2 linked regions of the Oryctolagus cuniculus genome follow. The protein of the gene in region 2 binds, or shares a complex with, the protein of the main gene of each other region. Links are inferred from orthologs where the notes say so. Each region holds a gene or a part of one and is shown on either strand. Other genes may lie near its edges. The genes, in order: HCRT and HCRTR2.

Evidence for each region.
Region 1: the proteins of HCRTR2 (region 2) and HCRT are in contact, whole or in part, in a cryo-EM structure (PDB 7L1U), measured with the Homo sapiens proteins. The link is inferred for Oryctolagus cuniculus from reciprocal best matches to the Homo sapiens genes HCRTR2 and HCRT. Residues at the interface, in NP_001371201.1 of Homo sapiens: Thr111, Val114, Trp120, Pro131, Gln134, Thr135, Val138, Gln187, Val209, Cys210, Asp211, Phe227, Thr231, Ile320, Ser321, Asn324, Lys327, Arg328, Phe333, Ala334, Thr336, Arg339, Val342, Tyr343, Phe346, His350, Tyr354; in NP_001515.1 of Homo sapiens: Asn89, His90, Ala91, Ala92, Gly93, Ile94, Leu95, Thr96, Met97.

What each region holds. Positions count from the first base shown.
Region 1 is NC_091448.1:20,616,614-20,630,742, forward strand, and holds HCRT (hypocretin neuropeptide precursor), read left to right. Parts: upstream 1-6,310; 5' UTR 6,311-6,322; coding exon 6,323-6,343; intron 6,344-7,082; coding exon 7,083-7,454; 3' UTR 7,455-7,535; downstream 7,536-14,129. Other genes in the region: GHDC (GH3 domain-containing protein), read left to right, coding at 1,186-1,480, 1,766-1,884, 1,988-2,489, 2,770-2,962, 3,046-3,117, 3,194-3,327, 3,654-3,739, 5,973-6,063 and 1 more; voltage-gated delayed rectifier potassium channel KCNH4, read left to right, coding at 10,033-10,108, 12,182-12,415, 12,701-12,847, 12,953-13,080, 13,874-14,117. UniProt on the Homo sapiens protein: Neuropeptides that play a significant role in the regulation of food intake and sleep-wakefulness, possibly by coordinating the complex behavioral and physiologic responses of these complementary homeostatic functions.
Region 2 is NC_091436.1:114,349,527-114,364,700, forward strand, and holds the start of HCRTR2 (orexin receptor type 2), read right to left. Parts: upstream 6,716-15,174; 5' UTR 6,546-6,715; coding exon 6,323-6,545; intron 1-6,322. UniProt on the Homo sapiens protein: Nonselective, high-affinity receptor for both orexin-A and orexin-B neuropeptides. Triggers an increase in cytoplasmic Ca(2+) levels in response to orexin-A binding.

The sequences.
Region 1 (14,129 bases), on a different chromosome or scaffold from region 2:
CTGCTGCTGAGCAGACAGGACGTTTGTTTGTTTTTAATTAATTACTTGTTATTTACCTGAAAGGCAAAGAGACAGAGACCTTGGCCCTCCCCTCCCCACGGGCTGTCTCCCCAAATGCCTGCAACAGCCAGGGCTGGGTCAGGCTAAAGCCAGGAGCCTGGAACCCGATCCAGGACTGCTGGCTCTAAGGTGTCCACTAGCAGGAAGCTGAATCAGAAGCAGGGCAGGGACTCAAACTCAGGCATTCAGACATGGGGCGCAGGTGTCCCAGCTGGCCCTCCGCCGCCGCGCCAAACGTCGGCCCCGCCCTCTGGTTTAACACTATTCAATAAGGGGTTTCTTTCTGCTACCTCCTTTGTTGCGAGGGTTCGAGGGTTCGTAGGTTCGCAGAGTTTGGTTTTTTCCAGTTCTCAAGCTCGCACCTGCTCTGGGAGGGAGGACAGCCCACACCTGGCTCCAGCCATGTCAGGGCGCTCTTCCGCACTAGCCTCTTCTCCACCTGCCTGGGTTTGAGGATCTGGCCCCAACTCCGCCATCTGGCTGGCTGGGCCAGCACCGAACTCCTGGGTGACCTGCCCCTTTAAGAGCACCCCCCATAGCTCCTCCCTCGGGCGGGGGAGGCCGGATTTCCCCATCAGGGCCCAGCCCGGCTCCATCTTTCTGGCCGGATGTGTCCTGAGCCCTGAGCTCGGAGGCTCTGAGGGGCCCTGGGAACTAAGCGTAGGCAGAAGTGGGCAGTGACAGGTGCAGGCGGGACAAACCCACTGCCCAGGGCTCAGGAGGGACTCAGAGCCAGGATAGACAGGGAGGGTCCCGAGGGAACGCGGTCAGTCAGTGCAATGTCACTCGCCCAGCGGCCACTTTGTGCCAGGCCTGTGCGAGGCAGTTTCTGTACCTCCTGGGAGAGGAATTAGGGCTCCTGTTTTACAGATGAGGACACGGAACTCAGAGCGACCGGCTCGTTTGCCCGGCTAGCGAGCGGCAGAGGCAGGATCTGAACTCGGGTCAGTGGGCCTCCAAAGCCTCAGTGGTCTCTCCCCTGCCTCGCCTGCCCGACAAGGTCTTCGCTTCTCCGGGGCCTCCCTGTGCACAGTAGAGCAAGGTGGCAGCGGGGGCGGGGGAGGGGAGTGTAGGCAGCCCCCCATCCCGCTCAGGCTGCCTCCTCCCCCCAGGAACTGCTCGGAGATGCTGCCGGGGCCCCTGCTTTTCCTCCTGCTGCCCCTGTCCCTGCTGCTGCTGCTGCTGCTGCTGCGGCCGCCACCGGCCACGCTGGGGCAGCCGGGCTCCTGGGATGCCAGGCTGTCCTGGCTTGCTGGCCTCCAGCACCATGTGGCCAGGGGCGTCCTGGGCTGGGCAGCTGCCTGGCAGCAGTGGAAACTGGACCAGAGCACACTGCACGTGGGCCAGAGCCAGCAGCAGGCCCTGGCGTGGTGTCTGCAGGGAGACCAGGGTCCCCGCGGCCCCCTCAGGGGGAGCACAGGTGTGTTTCCGGGGTCTGGGGAGGGCTCCCCAAGAGAAAGTGTGCAGGACAGTCAGCTCTCAGACCTGGGAGCCCCTTTCTCCCAGCCCCACTGCCCTGACCCGGACTCCCCGCCAGGCCCAGACCTGGCTCGCGGCTTCAATTAGAACTTTCCCCACCTGGCCGGAGTCCCCTCCCCACTGCCAGGGCTGCTCCCGGTTTTGCCCGCAGGGGTCTCCCCAGTCTCACCTGCCGCTCTTGGGAAACAGGCTTCTTGAGCAGTTTCTGGTGTCTTTGGGGCTGCAGATGTGAGCACCTTCCGGAATCTTCTCCCTCTGACCAAGGCCAGCCAGGCCCAGGAAGAATGTGGGGGGCCGCTCCTGTCCCCTCCCCAAGGCCCTTACTGTGGCGGGACCTCGCTGCAGGTAAACCCGGCTGACCAGAGCCCCAGCCCAGAGGCCCCCCCAAAAGGGAGGACACAGGGGGTGGCTCTGAGGCCGGCCCCACAGTCTCTCTTCTCTCCCCCAGGCCACGCTGCTGGGTCTGGGGGCTCTGAACAAGGCCTTCCCAGGAGTGCTGGCTCCGGGAAGCACAGCCCGTGTGACCCCCACATCGCCGTGGCCCAGTCCCTTCCCCTGGCCTGGGCGCGCCTTGGGCCTGCTCAGCACCCCCGGAGTGGCGGACCCCAAGGCCCTGCTGCTGGCGGCCCTGAGGTCCCCAGGGCTGATGGCGCTGGAGGCCGGGACGGCAACCGAACTCCTGGACGTCTTCTTGGGCCTGGAGGCCAACGGCGAAGAGCTGGCTGCGGCCACAGCTGCCGGGAAGGCGGGCGCCCCGCTGCCTGGCCGGGCAGGCGAGCTGCGCGCCGCGCTGGAGCAGGGCCCCCGGGGACTGGCCCTCCGGCTGTGGCCACGGCTGCAGGTGGTGGTGACGCTGGACGCAGGAGGCCAGGCGGAGGCCGTGGCTGCCCTCAGGGCGCTGTGGTGTCAGGGGCTCACCTTCTTCTCTCCTGCCTATGCGGCCTCTGGAGGTCAGCAGGGTGCCCAGGCAGGGGGGCGGGAATGGGGGTGGGGCAGGGGTGGAAGGCCAGGACCACTGCCCGCCCTGCTGAATCCTCCCAACCCCCAGTCTCCTTTTACAAATGGAGAAACTGAGGCTCACAGCAGGGCCGATACACCCCCGCGCTCACAGCCCCTTCCCAGCCGGGCCGAGGGGCAGCGGGCTGAGCCTGGGGCTGGAAGGGCGGCCGGAGGTTCGGGCTCCCAGAGGCGCAGGGTGTGGTCTGGAGTTGGCTGCTTTGCTCCCCGCAGGGGTGCTGGGCCTGAACCTCTGGCCAGAGCAGCCCCCCGGGCTCTACCTCCTGCCCCCGGGAGCCCCCTTCGTTGAGCTGCTCCCAGTCAAGGAAGGAGCCCAGGACGAGGCCGCTGGCACCATCCTGCTGGCTGAGGCCCAGGAGGACAAAGAGTACGAGCTGGTGCTGACTGACCACGCCAGCCTCACCAGGTGGCCACCTGCCCAGCCCCTGCTACCTATGGGTCCCTGCGGGAGGCCGCGGGCACGAGCTCACCCCCACCTGCCCCCACCAGGTGCCGCCTGGGTGACGTGGTACGGGTGGTCGGGGCCTACAATCAGTGTCCCGTCGTCAGGTTCGTCTGCAGGTAGGTGCCGCCCCTGGGGGGCCGGGGGGCCGTCCTGGGGCCCTGGTTCCACTGCCTCCCCCTTCCTCCTGCCCAGGCTGGGCCAGGCCCTGAGTGTGCGAGGAGAGGATATCAGGGAGGACGTGTTCCAGGAGGCCCTGGGCCGGGCCGTGGGGCAATGGCAGGGGGCCAAGCTCGTGGACCACGCCTGTGTGGAGAGCAGCATTCTGGGTATGCATCTCCATGGGCTCCCGCTCAGTCCTTGGGTTAGCGACCCCCCAGCCCACACCCACCCTCCGGGGGAGGAGACCCTGCCTCCAAGGCTGCCTGGGACACAGGTCCCTCCTGAGGTCTAATTTTCGTGCCTCCTGCTGCAGTGCCTGCCTGTGTGCTGTCCTGAGCGCTGCCCTATTTGGGACTGAGCTCCAGGCTCCGCTCCATTCACCCCACCCCCCACCACGGAGCTCAGCGTTGGGAGGGGCAGGTGGGCTGAGGGCCCTGGCCCAGGAAGTCGCCTCACTCACAGCAAGTGTGTGTCGGGGGGTTGTTGTCCACAGACTCCTCCGAGGGCTCTGCACCCCACTATGAGGTGTTCGTGGAGCTCAGGGGACTGAGGAACCTGTCCGAGGAAAATCGGGCCAAGGTAAAAAGCCAGAACTGGGTCGGACCGTGGGAGTCGGGGGGGGGGGGGGGCTTCGTTCTGCGCATGCGCACGATGCCTGGCAGAGCTTGCCCTGGGGTTCGGGGAGGAGAGGTCGAGTCCCACACACAGGCACACACACACGCACACATGCACACGCACGAGTCCTGCGCGCGCCCGGGCCACATTCACCGCCCCCCGCCGCCTCACACAGGCCCCTCTGTTCCCAGCTGGATCACTGCCTCCAGGAAGTCTCCCCCCACTACAAGTCCCTGCGGTTCCGGGGCAGCGTGGGCCCCGCCCAGGTCCACCTGGTGGGAACGGGGGCCTTCAGAGCCCTGCGGGCAGCCCTCCGAGCCTGCCCCTCCCTCCGCGCCCCCCCTGAGATGCCCCGGGTCCTTAGACACAAGCACCTGGCCCAGTTTCTGCACAGGAGGGTGGTGTCCTGAGCCAGGGCCCGCCCGCTGCCGGCCTCCCCTCGGGTCTCTCCAGATGGGGGTCCTTGGCCAGTGCTGGGGTGCAGGCTCCGGGCGTAGAGCAGACCCCAGCCTGTGACCACGTGGAGGCCACTGTGGAGGAGCTCCCCGTCTCTCCCATCAGAAAAGTGTTCGGCCACGCTCATGAGTGCTGGGGGGGGGGGGGGGGCGTGTCAAAGGCCCCAGGGGCGACCCTCAGCCGGTAAGGAACAGGGACTGATGCAGACAGACCTCCGCATCACTGTCCCTGAGGCCCCCATGCGGTCTCTCGGGGTCCTCAGCTGCCCATGGCCGTGACCCACTCATTAATGCACATTAACGCAGCTCCCCCCCACACCATTGTGCTTCCAAATAAACCTCTGGCACCCAGATTCTTGACTCAGGGTCTGCTTTGGGGCGACTGTGTCGGGGTCCCTCCCTGTGCCCACCGCAGCCTGGCCCGGCCATTCCCCTTTCAGCCCTGGGCTCCCCCACGATGTGCGGCAGCCTGGGTCACCCAGGAGATAGTTGCCTCCTCCTGCCGGCCCAGCCCAAGCGTGCCCCCCCCCCCCACCTCAGCACTGCTCCGTTCCCTGTAGGGGATGTCCTCATGTTCCAAGCAGGGAGAAACCCCAGAGACCTTCTGGGCCGAGTGTCCATGCCAGCAGGGTCCACAGCTCCTGTTCTGTCTCCGCTTCTGCCTGCAGACTGCGTCTCTGCTCCCTGTCCCCACATCCAGGGCCCTGCTCTGTACCCATTCAGCCCCTTCCTGATAAAATCCGCCCACGGCAGCTCCCCATTGCCCACAGGTTTAGGGCAATCAGCGTGGCCTCTAAGACCCTTGGGCCCTGGCCCTCTCTCCTCCCCACACCCGGAGACCACGTCCCCCACACACTGTCCTTGTGTGGAATGCCTTCTCCCCCCAGCTCTCCTGAGGAGCCCCTGCCCACTGCAGGCCGAAGAGCTCTGGTCAGCTTTTCCACACTGAGCTGTCTGTGTGCCCGGATCCCCACCTGCACTTGGGAGCTCTTTGGAAACTGGGCCATGGCCTACGCATCTCTCGTTCCGGTGCCCACGCAGGGCCTGGCACTGAGCAGGAGCACAACAAATAGTCCCCAGGGGGCCAGCGCTGGTGTAGCAGTTAACTCACCGCTTGGGGCACCCACATCTCAGATCAGAGGGCCTGGGGTGGAGTCCAGCTTCCAGCCGCTGTGCACCCTGGGAGGCAGTGGGTGATGGCTCTAGTGGCTGGGTCCCTGCCACCCGTGTGGGAGACCTGGATGGTGTTCCAGGCCCCTGGCTTTGGCCTGGCCCTGTCCTGGCTGTTGCAGGCATTTGGGGAATGAACCAGTGGGTTGAAGATCTCTCTGTGTCTGCCTTTCAAATGAATAATCAAATAAAAATAAAAATAAAAGCCAGCAGTGCTCTGAGAAGCTTTGGCCTGGAAGTGGCCCCCTCCCTGTGGAAGGTGGGGAGGGGCCACGCCCTCCGTCCAGAACACTGGGCAGGTGGCGGCTTTCTGTGAGCTTCTGGTAGAAACCGAGTCTGGCTTCCTTTTCTCCCCCAGCCCCCAGGGGTGGGTTTCAAGGCTTGCCAGGGAGCAGAGGGAAGGAGAGAGCTGGGGCAGGGGAAGGCGGGGCAGGGAACCTTTTCGCGAAGAAGGCAGGCTCTGGAGCCCCTCCCCCACACACCAGCCCGGTGGGTCTCCTAATTAGCAGCTGCCCCCACCACCACATCGGTGGGGACCTGCGCCCCAGCCAAGGCCTCTTTTGTGCTCTCAGATTCCTGGGTGCAAGGCGGCCTCATTAGTGCCGGGAGACTGCCCCATCTCCAGGGAGCAGGCGGATGGACAAGGAGAGGACCAGGGCCACGGTGACCCATCCCCAGCCTTCCAACGCCTGGGCGGCCATTCCTTGCGCCCAGCCTGGAGACCGCAGGCTAATCTTAGACCTGCCTTTGTCTGGCAGCCCTGCGTGCTTGCGAGTGCCCATCACTCCCCCCCACACCACAGAGCCTTATAAACCCCGGGGCCCTTGGAAGCGGGTCACAGTCAGCAGCCGCGCGGTTCCCTGCTGTTTGGACCACTGCAGACGCCTCTCTTCTTGGCTGCCCATCCTGAGCTCCAGACACCATGAACCTTCCCTCCACCAAGGTAAAGACCGACCCAGGGACCCAGGGGAACTGATCACATAGGGAGGCAAGAAGAGTGCTCGCTCGGAGGGCTGGAGAAGGCCAAAGGGGGTCTCTTTTTCCTGGGGGCTCTGAGACAGGAGGCTCAGCAGTCGCCCAGCAGCTGACCTGCCTGGTTCACACGGGGTCATGCCCTGTTCTCCTGGGTCCACGCTTACTGAGCACCTACTGTGTGCCAGGTGCTGTTTCCATCTGTCATCTCATTTCATCCTGCCAGCAGGCCACCTAGTAGGAGTTACTCAGTACCCAGTTTATAGGTGAGCCAGCTGGATGGGGAAATGGTCCGAAGCCATGGAATTTGGTGTTCTGTGTTTGCCAGCTGTGAGAAGGGTGAACGGTGGGGACCAAACGGGGCCTCTGCTTTTCCCGACTCAGACGCTGGTTTCAGGTGCACAGGTGCGAGCTCTCACGGGGGTACCCAGAAAGCGGGATTCCTTCTGCGGGTGGGGGGGGGGGGCCCGGGATCTCCAAGGGCTTCCCAGAGGAGGTGCTCTGCTGGGTCTTGAAGAATGAGCAGGCGAAGGAACCAGAGACGAGCCTTTCCCCCCGGCAGAGTCCTTCAGACAGGCGGGTCCAGGCAGGAAAACTGCGCGACAAAGCGCAGGACAGGAGGGGCGCGGGGCCAGCGCGCAGGGCCTGGGCGCGGGGGCTGGCTTCGGGCACGCCGGCAGGACCCCCAGCGCCCCGTCCTGCCTCTGCAGGTCTCCTGGACCGCTGTGACACTCCTGCTGCTGCTGCTGCTGCCGCCCGCGCTGCTGTCGCCCGGGGCGGCCGCTCAGCCCCTGCCCGACTGCTGTCGCCAGAAGACCTGTTCCTGTCGCCTCTACGAGCTGCTGCACGGCGCGGGCAACCACGCCGCCGGTATCCTCACGCTGGGCAAGCGGCGGCCCGGGCCCCCGGGACTCCAGGGCCGGCTGCAGCGCCTCCTGCAGGCCAGCGGCAACCACGCGGCCGGCATTCTGACCATGGGCCGCCGCGCAGGCGCGGAGCCGGCGCCGCGTCCTTGCCCGGGAGGCCGCTGCCTGGCCCCGGCCGCCACGGCCATCGCGCCCGGTGGACGGCCTGTGCTCTGAGCCCGGCGAAGACCCCGCGTTCTCCGCCTCTGCCCTCTCTGTGTTCCCCCGGAAAAACTGCAATAAAGACGAGTCTCCCTTGGTGTGTTGCTGGTCTCCGTTCCTACGAGGTCGCGTCCAGCCCTCCAGGGGGCAGGAGAAGCCCGGCTCTGGGGGCTCCAGCCCAGCTTGCGCGCTGTTGAGTCTGAAACACTCTTGGTTGGGGAGCTCACAGGGCAAGGGCCCTTGCAAAGTCCCGGGGTGCGTGCTCGGTGGGGAGGACGCGGGACGGACGCTGCCTCCCAGGCGCCACAAGTCTTCCGACAGACCCGCAAGAGGGGACAGAGGGCGAGGCAGGCGGCACGGAGGGGCGGAGTCCGGACTGCCAGGCGTGCGAGTGGCACCTGCTGAAGACCGGGACAGGAGCTTCCACAAGGCATTGTCCGGAGGGGCTGCAGCCTGCGGGGGCTACAGCGTGGGGGAGGGTGCCGGTCAGGTTCGCACAGCAGGGGCGGCGAAGACAACTCATCAGGCTTCGTCCTTTATTCTGTAGGTAGCTGGGACGCACAGAAGTTCTTAAGCAGGGCGAGGGTGAGGCTTTCCTGCAACACCTGTGCTGGGTTTGACTTTCTTCCCCTTGAATTCATGCTGAAGTCTTGGCTCCTAGCACTGCAGAACACCGGCGTTTTTGACAATAGGGTCTGTGCAGGTGCAGTTACTCAGGATGAGGCCACACGAGAGGAACCCGTGAAGGCAGGTGCCCTTACGAAGAGGGTGACAGTCAGGTGGTGCATCTGCCAGCCGAGGGAGGCCAGAGTCAGCCAGCAACCCCCTCCCGGTGGGGCACAGACATTCTCTCTCCCAGCCTTGAGCAGGAAGCAGCCCTGCCTGCTCTCTGATGAAGGCTGGACTCTCAGGCTCCAGAACTGGGAGGCTGTAAGATCACCGTTGTTTCAAATGCCCACCCTCTGTGTGGAACTTTGTTAGGCCAGCTAGGAAACTACTAACATCCGAAAGAGAGGCAGAAAGACACAGCCCTGGTTGGAGTCCGGAGTCCCAGACAATGTCCAGCTCAGACCCCCAGGGAGCAGGGGGAGGGACATTCATTCTGCCTGCCCTCTTGCCCAGCGGGCTCCTACTCTCGCTGGCTTTTGTTTTGTCTCAGGGATCATCGGCTGCCTCGATGATTTTCTGCTGAGCTGGTGAGAAGGCCCCATGTCTGCTCCTACCCAGGTTCCTCTTGGGAGGGATCAAAGTCCATGTGTGCATTCTTGCTGACTTGCAAACCCTCACTCTGCACACCTAGAAACTTCCTCAGGCCCAAGCTTGCCTCCAGCCTCACTTCCCCTTGCAAGGCGGCCGGGGGGCGGTGGCGGAGGAGGGGGGTGCAAGACTGACTGCAGGAAGCAGGAACAGCGAGGCAGACTGCGAACCAAGAAGACAGTCATGCCGGCGACAGGCGTCATGCTCCTAAATGCCCGCAGTAACTGCACCAGGTTAGAGTTATTAGGGGCTGACGCTGCGGCACAGCAGGGTAAACCACCATCTGCAAAGCTGGCGTCAGATCCAGCTCCCTGCTAATGCACCTGGGAAAGTCGTGGAAGATGGCCCCAGTGCTTGGGCCCCTGCACCCACACGGGAGCCCTGGAGAAAGCTCCTGGCTTCAGCCTGGCCCAGCCCTGGTCATTGCAGCCTTCTGGGGAGTGGACCAGTGGATGGAGGATCTCTGTCTCTCCCTCTCTTGCTGTAACTCGTTCAAATAAATAAATAAATAAATCTTTAAAAAGAATTATTAGGTCCATTTTATAGATGAGGATGCTGAAGCCGTCACACGCAACAGGTGGACGCAAGGCTTGCTTTCTCGACGCGCCTCAGAGGCAGGATCCACCAGGGTGTGAGGCAGAGGGCACAAGTTAGAGGTGCTTTCCAGGAGCTGGGGTTCCGAGCTTCCTGTCCTCCGTTCCCCACCTGCACAGCCAGCCTTTTGACCCTTGGCTTCTCCTCCGAGCGCAGGGATCTGGGGGTGCCGCAAAATATCCCAACTCCAGCAGGCGGCACTGTAAGCCGGACGCCAGCGCCAGGCGTGGGCGGCGCGCGGGGAAACCCACGAGGTGGAGCCTCGGGAGCTGCCCGGGAACCACGCGTGGGGGCGTGGCCACCTGGAAGGGGGCGTGCTTGCCACTCAGGCCCCGCCCCACCAATTGAGGCCTCCTCCTGCGGTGGGCGTGTCTCAGATTCTCTCCCCGAGAGACACGCGTGGGCCGCTCCCTTGTGCGAGGAGGGCTGCCGGGGAGGGGGTGCGGGTGTCGCCGGTGGCCCCTCCCCGTGCGGGGCCACGTGGCGGGCGCGGGCTCAGCCCGCGGGGAAGAACCTGACCCGTGGGGAGGCGGGGAGGGGGGAAGGGGGGGGGAACAGCGGCGACGCGGAGCGGAGCCGAGAGCACGGGGTTCAGAGCAGAGAGGCGGCGGCGGCGGCGAGAGGGAGGGGAGCAGGCAGGCGGGCGCATGGGGCGCCGCGGCCCCGCCGGCAGCGTGCCCCCTCCGGCCCGGCCGCGCTGAAGGCTCGCTGGCTCCGCGCCTAGGACCCGCGACCCGGGGCCATGCCGGTCATGAAGGGGTTGCTGGCCCCGCAAAACACCTTCCTGGACACCATCGCCACCCGCTTTGACGGCACGCGTGAGTGGGGCGGACCGGGTCGGGGCTGGAGGTTCGACTTGGAGGGGCCAAGTCTCCACGGGGCTGGCCCGGGTCCCCTGGATGTGGTGAGATGCGAGCCGAGCGGAGAGAACGGAGTTGAGGGTCTAGGACCGCCCGGAGCCGTGGCTAAGGCACAGGGCGAGAGCGCTCTGCGAGGGGGAAGGAGGGGGCCCAGAGCGCGGAGTGGGGGCACGGGGAGGGGGTGTGACTCGAGGCAGAAGACGCTCTTTGTGCGGCGACGGAGGAGGGGCCTCGGGAGCCACCCACTCCCGGGCCGAGCTTTGCCGGGGGCGTGGGGGGGGGCGGGTAGCCGAGGCACGGGTGGGACGAAGAGGCTGGGCGTTCTAGGAGCTGCTCCCAGACGACTCCAGCTGCACGTCCCTCAAGCAAACAAAACAAACAAACAAACAAACAAAAAGGAGCAAAGACCAGGCTTCGGCAGGACCTAGTGTGGATTAAGGTCGCTCGCCCCATCCCACCAGGGCTGGGTCCCAGGTTCAGCACCTCGGACAGCCGCACCGCTCCTTCCCCGCCTCTTCTCCCGCCATTCCCTCGTCCTACTCTGGAGCAGAGATCCCCTCCCAGACCCCTCGGGAGCCCTGGCCGGGAGCTGGAGGGTGGAGGAGCGGTACCCGAGGGCGGAAACCGAGCCAACCTGGCTCTACCCGCCTCTCCACCCTCCCTCCACACACACCTCCCCCGTTTCCATAGCACCCATCACCAGGGAGACGGGCCCTGGGATGGGAGAAGGAGGCTGTGCCCAGGGCTCAGAGCCTCCCAGGCACCCTCAGTGTCTGTCCCTATCAGCCGCCCCACCCCCGGACAGTCATCCTTCCTAGTGCCCCAGAACTGGTTGTGTCTGAGGCCCCCATAGTCAGCTGCAACTGTCCCTGGGCGGCCCACAGCCTCCCACTCACTGGAGCCGGAGGGAGCCAGCTCAGGTTCTGTTGCTGCTGGGGGGTTGCTGGAGCTGCACCCTCCGTGCCTTCTCCTGTTGAACTCTGAGCCCTGGGGGACAGATCCCCTGAAAATGGCTAAAGGAATGGGAACAAGCGGGCCTTCCCTGGGAGGCAGAGGATGAGGACTGCTCATCTCTGTGTCGTCCCCGCAATAAGAAGACTTGTGAGTTTGGCTACTCTCTTGTCTTGTGGTTTCCTATCAGTACAATAGGTGAGATCGCCAGAATCTTTGCCCTGCTCACTCTGCCGTAAGACAAGAGGGTGATGGGGCAAACGTCAGGGAGTCATCTCACCTTCTCAGAGTCCTACTCCCTAGGCACCAGGATTTGTGGTCCCCAAGTTAGCTGATGTCACTCCTGCCACAACCGTGTCAGGAAGGTGTCTTATGACGCACTTGGCAGAGAAGGGCCAGAGGGCTAATTAACTTGCCCAAGGTCACACAGGAGAGGGGTTTTGGAGCCTGTTTTTAAAAGAAAAAAAAAGTTATTTATTTGAAAGACAATTTTACAAGAGAGAGGGAGAGAAAGAGAGATCTTCCATCCACTGGTTCATTCCCCAAATGGCCACGATGGCCAGGCCTGTCCAGAGCCTGGAATTCCATCTGGGTCTCCCATGTGGGTGGCAGCACTTGAGCCATCCTCTGCTGCTTTCCAAGTGGAGCAGCATCTGAAGTGGAGCAGCCGGGACTAGAACCGGTACTCATAAGGGATGCTGGCGTTGCAGGCAGTGGCTTAGCCCACTGTGCCACGACGCTGGCCCCAAGCCCATTGCTTGCCATGCTATGCTGATTCCTACAATTAGGTCTCACCGGCCGGAAGGCGGGAGATGGACCTCAGGATCTCTCGGGGTTTGGTTTTCTCCTCCAATTCCCCGTGGTGGTCCTTGCCTCGGTTCTAGGCCACCTCTGAGTCCTTTCTCTTTGTCATCTCCTCTGATTCTCCTTTCAGAATATCCCAAAGAGGGTCAGGAGCCACAGCAGAGCCTGGGGCGCTTCTGGCTCCGACCTCTGGCCACCACCTGGGGGAGGCACTGCCCACCTGGAAGCTCGCTCCCCTCCTGGCCTCGTCCTGATCTTGACCACTTCCTCCCACAGACAGCAACTTCCTGCTGGCCAACGCACAGGGCCCCCGGGGCTTTCCCATCGTCTACTGCTCTGACGGCTTCTGTGAGCTCACTGGCTACGGCCGCACCGAGGTCATGCAGAAGACCTGCAGCTGCCGCTTCCTCTACGGCCCAGAGACCAGTGAGCCAGCCCTGCAGCGGCTGCACAAGGCCCTGGAGGGCCACCAGGAACACCGGGCTGAAATCTGCTTCTATCGCAAGGATGGTGAGGGGCCCTGCAGCCCTGCCCAGACACCAGTCCTTGCCCAGAGTGCACTGGGCACAGCAGCAGCCTGGGTGCTGGTGCCCACGCTGCCACAGGCTGACCGTGGGACTGAGGTCATCCCCGACCCTCTCTGGGCCTCGGCTCCCTCTTCTGGACAATGAGGGAGTCAGCCGACAGACTCTGGGGTTCCAAACTGCGGCCAAGCCCTCTGCCGGTGTCCGGCGCCCCGGGGGCATCAGAGAGAGCCGCATGCTCACTGCCTCCTGCCTCTCTCCACGTCCGCAGGCTCGGCCTTTTGGTGCCTCCTGGACATGATGCCCATCAAGAACGAGATGGGGGAGGTCGTGCTATTCCTCTTTTCCTTCAAGGACATCACGCCCCGTGGAGGCCCAGGACTTGGCCCCCCGGGAGGCCACGGGGACAGCAATCATGGTAACTGCAAGGCTGGGCGGAGGCAAGAAGAGTCAGAAGTCCTTGCCCAAGGACACAACCTTTCAGCACGGGCCCGACTCACCTCCACGTCCTTCTTCCCCACAGAAAGCTCCCTTGGCAGGAGGGGAGCCGGCTTGAAACTGCGGTCCGCCAGGCGGCAGAGCCGCACCGTCCTGCACCGACTGACCGGCCACTTCGGCCGCCGGGCCCAGCCAGGCATGAAGGCCAATAATGTGAGTCCCATTCCCATCCCAGCCGCTCCCAGGTCCCCCCGCCTCAACTCTGAGACCCCTCTGCTGCCGCTGCCCCCCCCTTCCCTCCCCCCGGCCTCCCTCCAGGGCCTGTGCACTGCCTGGCTCCAACCCGTGTCCCCCACAGCTCCTTCCATCCCTACTTCCCTTGCTACCCTAGATGATTGACATTGCTCCGCTCTGATGCTATCACGAGGGCGGGGCTCTGGCAGCACTCACAGCACCCACGCCAAGGTGATAGGGTGAAGCCACAGCTGCTATGGGCCTAGGGAGACAGCCCCCGTGGAGGGCCTGGCCTCTAACCCCGTGCACCCCTCCTAAGACTCTGCCACAGCCAGAGGGAATCTCCTACCCTCTGTGTAGTCTGTCAGGCTGCAAGGAATGGGGAGGGTTGTGCCAGCCTCCTCTTCCCCTGGGACATATGAGCCCCCTAAAAGCCCCCCAGGACCAAGGAAAGACTTAATGGAGAAGTTAGCGACTCCTCAAGCTAGGGCATGCAACTGATATGTTATAATTCTCAAGGAGGTGAGGGTCAAACCTTAGAAACTCCCTCTCTCAACCACATTACGGGTGCACAGGGTGCCTGGGCAGTAGCCTGGCAGGAGGGGGCAATGCCAGACACCAGCCTCTGCGCCCCGCCCCTCCCCTCCACCTCCGCTCGCAGCCACCTTCGCAGTGCCCGCTCCCCACCTCCCCCATCCCCTGCTTCTCCCTGCCCCCAGCTGTGGCTCCTCTGTCCCCCGAGTGTCCCCAACTGCCACCCCTCTCCCTTTAGAACGTGTTTGAGCCAAAGCCATCAGTGCCCGAGTACAAAGTGGCCTCCGTGGGGGGGTCCCGCTGCCTCCTCCTCCACTACAGCGTCCCCAAGGCCATCTGGGACGGCCTCATCCTCCTCGCCACCTTCTACGTCGCGGTCACTGTGCCCTACAACGTGTGCTTCGCGGGGGATGACGACACCCCCGTCACTTCCCGACACACCCTCGCCAGCGACATCGCCGTGGAGATGCTCTTCATCCTGGGTCAGACTCTCC
Region 2 (15,174 bases):
GTTGTAAAGTAACCCTAGCCTGACCTTGATTAGCTTATCAAATGAGCTCATCCTCAAAGCTAAAGTGCTATAGTGTATGAGAGAAATAGCATGGCATCATGCCAGAACAACTCTGTAAATTGTCTAGAGGGCACATCAAAGCATCACTTTCTTCCCTCTTTCTTCTGTACTTCTCCAGCCCAAGTTAGAAACTAGGGAAAGAGGCAGTATGAAGTAATGACAAGTGTGGAGTGTGCAGTTGGTAAAATATGTACTTGAAATTTAGTGCTGCTGCTTACTGATGACTAAACTGTGGAACAAGTTAAAACTGCTCTTTGAATTTCATTTATCTCATTTGTAAAATAAAGTATTTAACTACTCATCATTAGGAGGTTGATGTTGTAAGGCATCAATAAATACACAAAAGTGGAGGCTGCCATATATAAGACCTGGCATACAATCTGAAATACTCTTCATTTTCCTTTGAAGTGAGAAGAGGGACTGGAGTCAAATACACTTAGCTTCATCTATTGCATGTCTGGTTGACTCATACTAGTAAGCCATTATGTAACAATGTTAGTATCTGTAAGAGTATAGGAGTTGTCAGAATACAAAAGGAAATGGGGCCAGCATTGTGGCATAGAAGGTTAAACTGTCACCTGCACTGCCAGCATCCCATATGGGTGCCAGTTTAAGTCCCATCTGCTCCACTTTTGATCCTGCTTCCTGCTTATGCACCTGGGAAAGTAGGGGAGCATGGCACAAGTGCTTGGGTCCCTGTACCAACAAGGGAGACCTGAAAGAAGCTCCTGGCTCCTGGCTTCAGCCAAGCCCAACTCCAGCCATTGCAGCCATTTGGGGAGTGAACTAACAGATGGAAGACCTCTCTCTGTCTCTCCTTCTCTCTCCATAACTCTACCTTTCAATTACATAAAAAATCATTAAGAAAAAATAATAATACAATAGGAAGAAAAATAGAAGGATCTTCTTCTTGTAGTAAAGTAACATCAGCAATTGATGTTCCTGATATTTTAGGAGCTGAGTGATAATTCAGGGATTTATGAATGTGAATGTAGCTACCATACAGGATAGTTTTTAAATATAATCTAAAATACAAGATAATGAAAATCCATTTAAATACATATCATAAAATTCAATATATGTATTTTTACTAAAGTCAAGAAAAATGTAAACTAGAGCATTGTATCTGTATTTGAGTTTTAGTTTTGACTTCCATTTACAAAAATGTGTAAGAGTTATTTATTTTATTTATTTGAGAGGCAGAGAGAGGGAAAGACATATGCATATGTAGAGAATGAACTCCTATTCACTAGGTCACTCACCAAATACCTGCAATAGCAAGAATAGGACCAGACTGAAACCAAGAGCTCAGAACTTAGTGCAGATCTCCCAAGTGGCAAAGACTCAGCTACTTGAACCACCATGTTCTATCTCCTATGATGTCCATTAGTAGGAAGCTGGAATACAAAACTGGGCTGCAACTCAATACAGGATGCAAGCATCTGAAGCCATGTCTTAAAAATTAGACCAAATGCATGTCCTTCAATTTGACCTCTTTTGACAAATTTTTCCAAATTGTTTTTTTTCTATGTACTTTTTCAAGTATAAGAAGAAATCCATTGTCATTAAATTATGCATAGCACATGTTACTCTCATAATTGTCTGTCCAGGATAAATGTTGCTCTGTTATCTATGATATAGCCATTTATAGAGTTATCATTTGAATTCTGCTCAAGTCAAAGATATAACTTATCTTTACCAACTAAACCCAAATGACTATGGTTTAGCAAAAATGCAGAGGCATCAGTTTAATTCCCATTAAAATAAGTACTTTTTATTAAAATATTCTGCAACTAAAAACACACAACAGGTTTAAAACCCAATAGCTAATATTGTCTTTTACACTCACTATTTCTGACTTCTATTGAGTCTTTGCAGAGATGAGTAATATATTCTCTCTAATTTCTTTCTGTTTCCTGTATAGCAAATGATGGGTTCATGGACACCCACAGATCTCAAATGAGCATTAGGAGATATGGATAAGTAATGCCTCTTATGCTTAGGAGTAGCAGACACTCAGAAGTCTGCCACTTCCACTACTAGAATATAAGATTAAGTCTGTAGGAAGCAACTCTTTAATAGATATTCCCTCCACCCCATCTAACTACTTGACCTTAACTCATATGGGGTAAATTCCTTAATGCCTTAAGTGCTTCATCTGAGTTAAATTAACAACATTAAAAATAATAGACTGACGAATAACAACTCAAAAATCAAGTGAATGAGACCTACTAAAGGCAAGTTTAACCTGGATGAAAGAAAATTATCCCAACAGTTAGGAATAGCTTTCAGAAAGGGGAAGACAATGTACAGTAATCACTTTGAAGGGGATGAGTGGGTGGAGCTGACCTGGCAAAGGAGAGTAAGCTGTCAATTCCATATTACTCACACCTTTCAGTAAAACAATCAATTTTAACAAAAGCTACAGCAGAGGCCATAAAGAGCTTAAAAGGTACTGAGGCCATGGAGGTATAAAATGACTACAAACCACATTAGGGAATATTTCAGTAGTGAGAGTCAAGGATTAATAACTGCCATTAATTATTATATAGTATATGTCAAGTATGTGTTCCTGCATCTCTACATAGAATATGTGTGTATTACATCATGATATAATTTCTACAAGGCAGGCATTATCAACTTAGTATGCAATTTAAAAAAAGGAGACATTATTAGTTCAATAACTTGCTAGTAGTCACACAAGAAGCAAGAAGAATAGATGGATTCATACCTACACATATTGTATCTTTGGATGCAGACACAAGAGAGTCATTAAACTGATGTTTTTCCCCAGGTATTTAATGCTTGAGCTGACTGGAAACACATCTCTCCCTCCAATTTACATTTCAGAAATCATGAGTAAAAATTACATCAAATATATTCCTTTGTATTTCCCCAAAAATCCTCCTCACACTTACACACTGACTTTAAGAACATAATATTACTCAAAATATACTAGTTGATTAAAGAGACACATCTAGTGGCTATAGCACAAGATATATTTGGGAATACATCATGTAATGTATACATATATGTATGTATATGTGGTATATGTGGCATCATTTTGAAGAAACTGGAAAAATTACTCCTTCCAAAAAGATGCTATTACCATGATCCAAATCCACAATTAGTCATTCATGTGTCTTTTTACAATGCAAATATTCATGAAATACCATTTACAGTGGTTGTGCCTGTTGTGAATGGCCTTGTAATTTTTTTCCAGGAAACTGTTTCATGTCTCTGAAAGGATCATCTTATAATGGAGAAAGGTTATAATGAGAAAGACTGTGGAGAAAAAAAAAAGGTGAGGACGATCAAGACTTTTTCATTCTTCACAGAGCATATCCTGTTCCATCAGTTTATAAAAGGCACTGTAGAAGAAATTATTTCTCACTGATAGCATTATTTTTGTAAGTTCAACAAGGTTGAGCTTTTCCAAGTAGTCAGTTACATGAAAGCAAACAGTGAATGGACCTGATGGGTCAGTGATTACATATGCTGCCTGCACTGTGGTACTTCACCTCCATAACGAAGGTTGTCTCTTTATCTTTCATGAATAATGTGAGTTCTTGTCTTTGCATTCTATTTGTAAAATCACCAAAGGGGGGCAAAAAAGCAAGTCTCAGTCTAATCCATTTTGCAAATTTGACAAGAACATCAAAGAGCAAGAAGTAGTCTGAGTAATGACACTGCTCATTCATTTAAATGTCAAACTTAAACCTCATCAACTTTCAGGGAATATTTTAGTAAAGAATGAATTTCAGTCTATCCAGAGAGGATTTCTGTGTTATTCAGTCCTGAGGAAAACAGTTGTCAGTATCTTGAGAGCAGAGTGCCTTGAGTTAATCTTTCATTTTGAACTGAATGGAATTGGCCATTTCAGCACTTGAGGCTATGGACAGCAATCTCTTTTTGAAGTAAAGTAAGTGGCCTTACTGTAGAGGTGTTTCCTTCTGGAATCTGAAACTCCCCAGGCTAGTGATCATGTATTACTAAACTATGCAATTAGTCTATGAGGACTATGCATCAGAAGGCCTATGCAAAGCAAAAATTAAATAACAGCAAAGAAAAGCACATTTTACCACAAAGAGTAAGCCTGAAATAAAATTAGGGAGAGGAAATAGTTATAATTTATAACTATTCCTGCAAAACAAATGTCTTTTTTAACTGTAAAAGTTTCCCCTGTAGGTGGGTTTTTGGTCATGAGAATCACAAGTGCTATTAACCTATCATGGTACTTTATTGACATAAATGGACTTAGATGCAGACAACAGGAAATGCATCCAACAGGCTTGCAGATAATCAGAAACAGATAATCCATTCTCCATATGATTTCTATCTCCAGAGTGTAATATCAATGGAGAATTGTGGATTTGAGGCAAAAGAAATGAAATTGAATTTCAATTATGTCTGTTAATTAGTCATTGATTTGTCTAAGCCTTGTTTGTACTATTGAGTATGGTCTATTTTGAATTCTAAATGACAGAATGTTTGGCAAGGGGTCTGGAATACAGTAAGTTGTCAATATATGTTCAATTTTGGTTATTCGTGTAACAGTAAGTATGGCATAATACAGTGAAATGTTGATATGCTGGTACTCGTATGTCATATAAATGTAAACTGAAGAAAAGATGGCAAGAAGGAGGAAAGCAGGAATGGCCTTGCTATCAGCAGACTCATTTATCCTGGTAACAAGAGACTTAGTCATGTATATTTTCACTTTCATCCACTTTGTCTATATCCCAAGAAGATTCTCTTTATGTTTACTCTAAACACTTAACAGCAACACTGACAACAAATCCTGAAAACAATATAGAAAGAGCAAGCTAAATGTCTCAGAGGTTTCCTACCTCATCTCATAATATCCTACCAACTCACTGGAGAATTCCCCTTTGTGACATACTATGACTGCATGCCTCTTAGCCAGACCAACACACTTAGGAGAAAAAGCAAAAATCAGGTTATTGCTGAAAACCTGATAAGTTCCTTATCATCCTCTGTAACAGCTGAAAACCCTTTCCTTTTTCTTTTTTTTATAACAAATTATTTGCTTCTGACTTCAAAGCCTTGGAACCTAATTCACCTCTCTCACCTTCTCTTTTTAGAACTGAAAATAAAGAGCACCTTCCCCTGGCCCCCTCCATCTCCTCCTGACATTTTCAACAGACACTTCCTCCACACTGCCCTCTGCATCTGAAATGCCTCCCGGCATCCCACTCTCCATTCATCAAGGTACAGGCTCCTTCCATTCACAATTCCTTCTTAGTCCTCCCTCCCTTCCAAAGGTCCTTTTCTTGCACTAGATTCTTCTGGTTCCCTAATACACTCCAACATCTAAGTCACCTTATCATCACCCAATCCCCTTCCCAACACTCAGAAATTCACGGTAGGGAGGGGTCGAGGAAACCTGTGTTTGCATGCGGACCTAGCAGGGACATTCACATTAAGCCCAGCATTAAGCTTTTAGTGTCATCTTTTGGTGGGGGGTGGGAGGGAGTGAGGACGGAGCAGTTAACACAATAGATATTTCCTGACACTGGCAACAGGCAGGCTCTGGAAAACATTGGCTGAACGGATGAATGAATGAATGAATGAATGGGTGGGTGGGTGGACGGACGGAGGGCTGAGTGAGATTTCCGAGGTACTTTTCTTGGATGCTCCTCCTTCTCCTTGCAGCCGGCAAGCTTCTTGTTTAATTCAGGCTCAGGCTCCGGAGTGAGTGCACTTCCGTGCTTTGCCTGATCTCAGCTCCTGCCCCTTCATTACCTCTTCCTGACAGGGAGCCCAAACCTTGCCAAAGGGCAGGCTACCTAGCTCGCAAGTGCTTTGTGACTTCAACAGTCAAGACAGCTTGCACTCTGCAAGCCCTGCCTCTCCTCAGATCCCCTCCACAACATTCAGCCGCCTTACACAAAAGGATGACTGATTCCCCAACACTCCACCAAATCCACCTGCAGATCCCTGTGGTTTGCCCCTTCTCCCCGCGCTTGTAACCTAGGTGCTCGGAAAAGAAACGCGGTTTCCCTCTGCTGCCTGCAGAAAGAGGAATAACCATGCCATGGTCTGTCCTGGTGCATGAAACAAGAAAACTTTTGTTTTATTTTTGCATTAGAAAACCTCACGAGGGGGAGAGAAAGAGAGGGAGAGCTAGGGAGAGCGCTACGACCTCTTTGTTTGCATCCCAGAGGGTGGGAGGGGTCTTCAGAGCCTTCCGGAGCAGAGGTGACAGCCCTTTTGGAGGGCTGCCCGGGAGGAAACTCACCCAGGACGTTTCCAATAAGAGCCACGATGAATACGATGATGTACCCTGCGATCAGGACCCACTCATATTCTTTCGGGTGTAGGTATTCTCTCCACAGGTACCGCAGGAATTCCTCATCGTCATAGTCGGTGGGGTTTAAAAACGGCTCTTGAGTTTCGTTCAGCTCTGAGGCAGATGACCAGTTGCGACGAGGCGGGGAGTCCTCCAATTTGGTGCCGGACATCACGGGCTCGAGTCCGGTTCAGTTCAGTGCTGCAAGCTCCTTTTCGCCTGCCCCATGAGCACTGGTGATTTGCGGTGGGAAAGGCTGCGCGGAGAGGCGAGCAGGGGCTCCGGAGCAGAAAATGACGTGAAAAGTTACTGAGCCAATGCCTCCGGAGTCTTCTGCCGGGCAACTTCTGCGGCGGCTTTGCTGTCTTTGCAGGCGGTTTTGCATAGGAAAGAGAGGCAGCTGAGCAACTGGGGAACGGACAGTGGAGGCTGCAGCAATGACACCGGGAGGAGCAGGCTACCTCGGGCTCAGCTCGAGCTCAACTACTCCTCATTCCAACACTGAGTCCTCAGCCCACAGACTCCTCCTGCGGATGCTAGGGCAAAGAAAAAAATATTATTTTGAACTCTTTCCCTGTGGGTTAAATCTCCTTTCCTACATTTTTCAAGAGCGGTTTGTGTAAAGCACACAGAGTCATCTGTAGGTATGTGGACATCACAAGATGGTCAACACAGGGTTAATACAGGATGTATTGTGGTTTTTCCTAATGAGAATGTAAAAGTAATGAACCACTGTGTTCCTTAAGCAGGACAGTGCCGAAGTCATTTCAGCAAATATTTTAACATTTAACATTTGCCAAATTAGCACTTGCTCAATCTTTAAGATATCTCCTTTCCTCCTCAAAACTGGGAAATGACAATGTTTTTTTTGACTGAAGGGTATATTTAGCTGGAATTTGTATTTGCAACACTAAATGTCATATGAAATATAGCAACAAATCCTTGAAGGACACCAAGGGTCATAAATGTAATCATAGTTAATGTTGCCAAGCAGAAGATCCCACCAATATACTAAACGCTATTAAAACAGATTCTCAGTAGCATGTAGTGAGCAAGCAGCAGTGGGTACTCTCTGGTGAATACATACCTCACTGGTCTCTCTTCTCATTGATTCAGGGCTGATGTCACCTGATATTGATATTTTTCTCTAAGAATGAGGATGCTGGGATTTATTTGTCAACATGTGAATTCATGATCCTTCCATTCATGCAACGCTGTTGAATATTTCATTGATTAGTTACAGTCTGGGACGTGGGAGGGACCCTGGAATCATTAAGCCAGAACTTCTACCTCCTGATAACCTTGCTGATATATCTCTGTTGATTTTGGATGTAACCACCACAATTCACTACTTCTACCATCAAGAGATTTGCCTTTCTAAGACTTTTACTTTCAATTCCCAGGGTGTAACTTGATATTACCCAGAATAAATCCTCTGCTTGACAATCCTTCACACTTGGTAAAGTACACCCCCCCATTCCATCTCCCCCATTCTCCATGTTTCCCCTCCATTTCCCCACTGTTTTTCAGACAACACAATTCCATGCCTATATTTGAGTGCTCTTTCTTTGGACAATAGTATCTTGAAAAATATTCAATTGAGAGGAAATGCAGTATCTGGTCTGGGTCTTGTAAGGAAAAATAGACATTATTTTTTGGATGTAACCCATATTTTATTTAATTTTTTTCCAAAAGTTAAAAGGCACCTATAGTTTACATTGAGGTTTTACTCAACTGCCTCACCTTCATCACCAGTCACAATCTTTTATAATTGTTTTGTACTGTACATTTCATAAAATTTTTTCACATGCATTATTTTAAAAGCCCCAAGGGGTTGGGTATTATTAGTCCTGTTTTATAGATGAGGAAACTGTTACCAAAAACATTGAATGATCTACCAAAAATCAAATTATTAATCACTGCATGTCCCCATCTAGTGCTGTTATTCTACAAATGTCTTCTTGATCCATAACCAGTGCTTCTATTATTCTACAGAGGTCACTTTTTTTATAAAAATGAAGATGTTGTTGGAATTTTCCAAGTATGCCAACTACATTGCTTTAAAAGAAAGATTTATTTTATTTATTTGAAAAGCAGAGTTACAGAGAGAGGGAGACACAGAGAGAGACATCTTCGATCCACTGGTTCACTCCCCAAATGACCACAATGGCCAGGGCTGGGCCAAACCAAGGCCAGAAGCCAGAGCTTCTTTACAGGCTCCAACATGAGTGCAGGTGCCCAAGTACTTGGGCCATTTTCTGCTGCTTTCGCAGGTGCATTAGCAGGCGCATTAGGAGCTGGACTGGAAGCACAGTATCTGAGACACAAACTGGCAACCAAATGGGATGCCAGCGTTGCATGCAACTGCTTAACCCACTATGCCATAACACTGGCCCCCTAAATTTCTTTTCAACAGAAGTACTTAAATAAGCATTTTATTGTTTCACCAGTCACTGAGTTATTCATTTCCATTCTTAGTGACATAAGTTAAACATGCTGCTTTCATATATTTTAATTTTTAGTACAGTTAGAAAACAGATGAACTGATAAATACATAAGGAAAGCACCAGGAAGGGATCAATAATATCACGAAAATCAGAGTAAAGTGCTGGTGAGTGGAGAATCCCAAAGACTATACTAGAACTAAGTGGTCCAAAGGGCCTCTGAAGAGGTGACATGTAAGCAGGAGATTCAAATGACTTATGGATATATTAATTCAATTTTGTTAATTTGAGGTTTAAATAGATCTTCTTAAATGCTAATGCTATTATCCAAAGCATTTGCCATTCCTCCAGACCTGTTGTCAGCAGTAAATTTGACAAGCAGACCTTTTGTGTTTTCTTTCAAGATCACTGATACAAATCTGCTAACATTTTGCTATCGTATGTTTTCCACTGCGTTATTACTATTTGTATTTTCCTCTTCCATGGACAACTCTTTTCAAAGTGGGACAGGTTGCTACAACTTTAGTTCAGATCTATAGTCATTAATGCCTGTAAATTCCTTGTCACTGACAATCTATAAACATGGACCCAGTCTGCTCTTCCCTAAGGAATCAGTGCTTTTAGATTTCGTTGTGTGGAACATTGACCTGTCTACCTTTCCATCTTCTCTTTAAATCTTCTATCTGAAATTAATCATCACTGCTTATTGAAGTTATAAAGAGAAATGAAAATCTTTTCAAGATTTTATTCTGATATCTGCTTTATGTTATGACAAGCTTGGATTTATCTTGATTCTACAAATATTCCATTTCCTCCTATCCATGGTTTATCAACTGCTTTATTTTAAATATGGGTTACTCCAATGTCATGCAAAAATTCCACTCTAATCCTCAAATTATTATTTGTTTTCCTTTTTTGCAACTACATTAGAGACGGCAAATATTGCAGCACTCACTTTTGATATTATCTCCTTCCTTAGATCTTTTAGGATATCTGAAAAGAATTTATATTTCTTAGGTATTATTATTTTCTTTAATTCACAATATTTCTGCTAGATGTACAGGAAAGAAGCCAAACTAATATTACAAAACATTAAAGAAAGTTTGAAATTTTCCCTGTATGTCCTCTTTAGGTACTTTAAAGAATTAAATAAACTGATATCTTTTCTCTCCCTGTTAATGGTTGTAGTTGAGTTTTGTTCAAAGATTGCAGAATGGTATGGGCTATCCTAGATTTTATTTTTTTTATTCCTGATGAGAGGTATCTTTTTTGAAGGTCTATAATAATTTTCTAGATCCATTTCAATAAGATTCCTGAGTATCTACTATGTGCTCAGGATTGTAACTAGAATTTGGAGCCAGAAAGATCAAAAAAACTATTGTAGCCTAAATGATCCGTAAGTTGACTGGTGAATTAGAAATATGATTATTGCATAACTGAGTTTCCAAGGTAGAGAGATTCACAAAATGTCATGAGAGTTTGGAAGTATGCTTCATTTAGCCTGAAGGGAATCAGAATGAGTAGCTTCCCCACAGGGAGAGTCATTGTGGGATGAACATGTGAAGAAGTGGGAGATTACAAAGTGGTTAAAGAGGAAAGGTTGCAGGCAGAGGTAATAAGTACTTTGTGGAAAATTTGCGGCAGGAGAAAACACAGAATATAAGGGCACAAGCAAGATGAAGTGAGGCAAAATCAGGCTTTCCGAGCAATTGTTGGCAATAATGTGGAGAACAGATTAAAGAAGGGTGAGACAGAAGGTAGAGGGACTAGGTAGGAGGGCTGTAACATGATCCCACTCTCATCTGGTTGTGGGGATTACTTGACTGAGTACCTCTTGTTATTGTTAATAAAATGTAAGGGTTCAGATAGACATCAACCAAAGTGCTGCATGACTATGTTTGAAGTTTATTTCTCTATATTTTTAACTACTGTCAATTTTTTTAACTTGAAAAATAGTATCTATACATAATTATGGGGTACATTGTCATATTTCAGTACATACGTACAGTATATAGTGACAAAATAAGTAAACTAGCATATCCCTTATTTTAAACATTTATCATTTCTTTCTTGTGAAAATGTTCAAAATCCTATCTTTTAGGAGAAGAAACACAGTGACAGTAACTTATTGCTCACCTAAGTCACCCAATGGTGCTAAACACTAGAACCTACTCTTATCTTACTGTAATTTTGTACCTCATAACTGGCCTCTCCCTAGACTGCCTTCTCTTCAACCCTCCCAGTCTTTGCTAACAACTGTTCTACTCTCTATTTCAGTGTGATCATATTTTGAAGAAAAAAACAAGTGATATTCCACTGTTAACTTCCTAGTGTTTGCAAAGAACTTGCTTTCCACGTGTCTTCCAGTTTTAGATGAAGAAATTATGACACAGACAGATTAAGTAACTTTGTCAGAGTCACACAGAAATGACAGAATCTTTATGTACCACTGTCAAGGCCCACTTGCAAAAATATGCTTGCTGTCATTGTCCTATTCTGTTTCCAATATGATAAACTATTTCATTGATTATTGGTAATAATAACAAATCATGAGTGTTTACAAACACACTTATAAAATCATGTTAGCTTTGTGTATTTTTTAAAAATTCTATTAAATTTTAAATAGTGTTGAATTTGTAGAATTGTGGGGAAAATTGTTATTTCCTTCAAGATGATCTCACACCCTTAATAGTAAGTCAGTCTCTCATGTTCCCCACAATTGTACATTTAAGGGAATAAATGCTGTTCAATTTATCTCTTCTTTCAAAGTTAGCATAACATTTTACTTGTAGCTATTGGTCAATCACTATTTGATGATAAGGCCTGAATTCAATTGAAAGGAGGAATTCTTTTTCCAAAAGGGAGGAGAGAACTTCCACTTTGACCATGGCCTTGTCTATAATCAGAGTCAGTGAACTCAGGGGGCTTCCATAGCCTTGGCAGCTCATGACAAGAGCCTAGGGTGATTACTGAGGCCATAAACAAGAGTGTCAACTGTTAAGTCAACATCAGGAGTCACTGTGCACTTACTCCTCATGTAGGATCTTTGTCCTTAGTGTGCTTTACATTGAGATTTAATGCTATAACTAGTACTCAAACAGTATTTTTCACTTTGTGTTTCTATGGGGGTGCAAACTGTTGAAATCTTTACTTAATATATGCTAAACTGATCTTCAGTATATAAAGAGAATCGAAAATGAATCTTGATGTGAATGGAAGGGGAGAGGGAGTGGGAAAGGGGAGGGTTGCGGGTGGGAGGGACGTTATGGGGAGGAAGCCATTGTAATCCATAAGCTGTACTTTGGAAATTTATATTCATTAAATAAAAGTTAAAACACACACACACACACAAAGACACTTACAAAACAATCAAAAAGAAAGGTGAATATTTTGTGAAAAATTATACATCTGTGTCACTTTTGCTTCCATAACATTAAAAAAAAAAAAAAAAACCTTCTTGGAAATACTACCACATTGCTGCCCTTTACTAAACCTTTAGCCTTAAAAAGAATTTAGTGAACTTTTTGTTGGATGCACCATTCTATTAATTCATTTCCTCTTCCCATAATCTAAAAATGTTTTTATTTTTTCATAATGGCCATTGGGTAAAATGGGAAAATAATAATAGACAGTAGAAAGAGAGTTTCAATGTAATCCTGGAGTGCAGACTGTACCTTTTGAGGTGCTTGCCTGCCTGAACCACCCTTCTCAGAGAACCATTCATTATCACCAGGTGCTTTACAGAGTAGGATCTTGGGATAAAAAGTATGAATACAATAGTTACATTTTAAACATCAATCCTTAGACCACATGATTTTTTTTGCTATGACCCAGGTCTTGGGTTCATGGAAATATTTCTTTGTTCTTTGAATATATGGCGCTTTTCCTTGAGCTCATTTCACTGTGTGTCTCTCTCCCTTGAAAATTATAAAATTTGATGAGTTCAAGGAGGTTAATCTAGGTTAGCATTAGGTTTGTCGAGTAACAATAAAAATGCATGTTCAGATTTTCTATAGTAAAAAAAAGATCCATTTTATTGTGTCAGTGATTTTTTATTCTATTTTATCAAATATGCATGGTATACTGTCTACATAGTTAAAATGAGGAAATATTGGGCTATTGAATTCTAATCTGAAAGAGCAATGTGGCCGGCACCGCGGCTCACTAGGCTAATGCTCCACCTAGCGGCACCGGCACACCGGGTTCTAGTCCCGGTCAGGGCGCCGGATTCTGTCCCGGTTGCCCCCCTTCCAGGCCAGCTCTCTGCTGTGGCCCGGGAGTGCAGTGGAGGATGGCCCAAGTGCTTGAGTCCTGCACCCCATGGGAGACCAGGATAGGCACCTGGCTCCTGCCATCCGTGGCGGCCATTGGAGGGTGAACCAATGGCAAAGGAAGACCTTTCTCTCTGTCTCTCTCTCTCTCACTGTCCACTCTGCTGTCAAAAAAAAAAAAAAACAGCAATGTGGATGCTTGGCTCAGCAGTTAGTATGCCCCTTGGGATGCCAGCATCCCATGTGTGAGTGCCTGAGTTCCACACCTTGTCTTAGCTCCTGATTCCACATTCCTATAAAAGCAGACCTTGGGAGTCAAAAGTGATGACTCAAATAGTTGGATCCCTGCCACTCACCTGGGATATCTTGACTGAGATCCCAGTTCCCACCTTTGGCAGGGATAAATGCTGGCTGTTGTGGGCATTTGAAGTAGTAAAACAGCATATGGAAGTTCTCTCTCTCTCGCTCTCAAATAAGTGAATTAAAAAATCAGCTTAAATAAATTAAAATGTGACAAGTGTTTCTCAAGTACAAATGCAACCTTTGAATTTCACTGAGTGACATTGTAGAAACTACATAGAGGGGATCTCTTTGTTGCTGATCATGTTTATTTTTAAAAACTATATTGTCATTGCTTCTTGGCCTTTTGGCTAAGATCAAGTGTAAAACTATATTGTCTGGGGCCTGTGCTGTGGTATAGTGGGTAAAGCCGTTGCCTGCAGTGCCAGCATCCCATATGTGCACCGGTTCAAGTCCCAGCTGCTCCATTTCCAATCCTGCTCTCTGCTATGGCCTGGGAAATCAGTAGAAGATGGCCCAAGTCTCCCTGCACCCATGTGGGAGACCCAGAGGAGGCTCCTGGCTTCAGATTGGCACAGCTCTGGCCATTGTGGCATCTGGGGAGTGAACCAGTGGATAGAAGACCTCTCTCTCATTTTCTGCCTCTCTGTAACTCTTCCTTTCAAATAAATAAATAAATAAATCTTTAAAAAACTATATTTTCATTGAGATAAAATTCAAAAATATAAAAGTTGCCATTGTATCTACTTTTAGGATACAATTAACAGTTTGCACTTTATTCACAATGTGCTGCCATTACCACTATCTAATTCTAGAAATCCCATAACTCCTTATTCTCCTCTCCTCTCAAATGCTAGCAAACACTAGTGTACATTCTTCTATGGGTTTGAATAGTCTGGAGAATTCTTATAGATGAAATACAAATGTATGTTTTTTTTGTCTGGAATTTTTCACTCAGGATAATGTTTCAAAGTTCATCCATGTATTAGCATATAACAATGCTTTATTTTTTATGTTTGAATATTAATCTATTGTATGTATATACCACATTTGTTTATCTATTCAGCAGTTGACAAACATTTGGATTGCTTCTTTTTTGTCCTATTATTAACAGAGTTTGTAGGAACATTCATGTACAAGTTTTTATATGAATTCTGCTTTAGTTTTCTTGGGTGTATACCTAGAAGTGGATATATCAGACAGGATTCTCTAGAGATACCTATAAGATAGATATAGGGATATGAAAAGGATTTACAGATAATTGTGGCAGCTGGGAAATCCCACAACAAGTAGTCTGCAAGCTGGAGACCCTGTAATATGACTTAGTCCAAGTCCAAGGGCCTCAGAACCAGAGAAGTCAAAGGTTTAACTCTCAGAGTATGAAAGCCCAAGTGCCAGCAAGTCAACTGCTCATGTAAGTCCGGGAGTCCAACGGCTTCAACTGATGTCCAATGCAAGAGTTGACTGTATCCTCGCTATCAGAGTAAGAGTAAAGAGACCAAGTATCCTCTGTATTTAATCTCTTCAGACTGTCGGTCAACTGATGCTGCTTGGGATTTCTCAGCTGATCCACTCAGACTCACATGCTAAGCCCCTGACAGACACTTTGCATATAATGATTTTCCAGGTTTCTAATTTCGTAATCCATATAGTAACTCCATGTTTACCTGTTTGGGGAGCTGCCTGTTTTCTACAGGGGCTGCATTGCTTTACAGGCAACATATAAGGGCTTCAATATCTTCAGGTTCTTATCAAACCTTGCTACCTTCCATTAAAAAAAGATAGA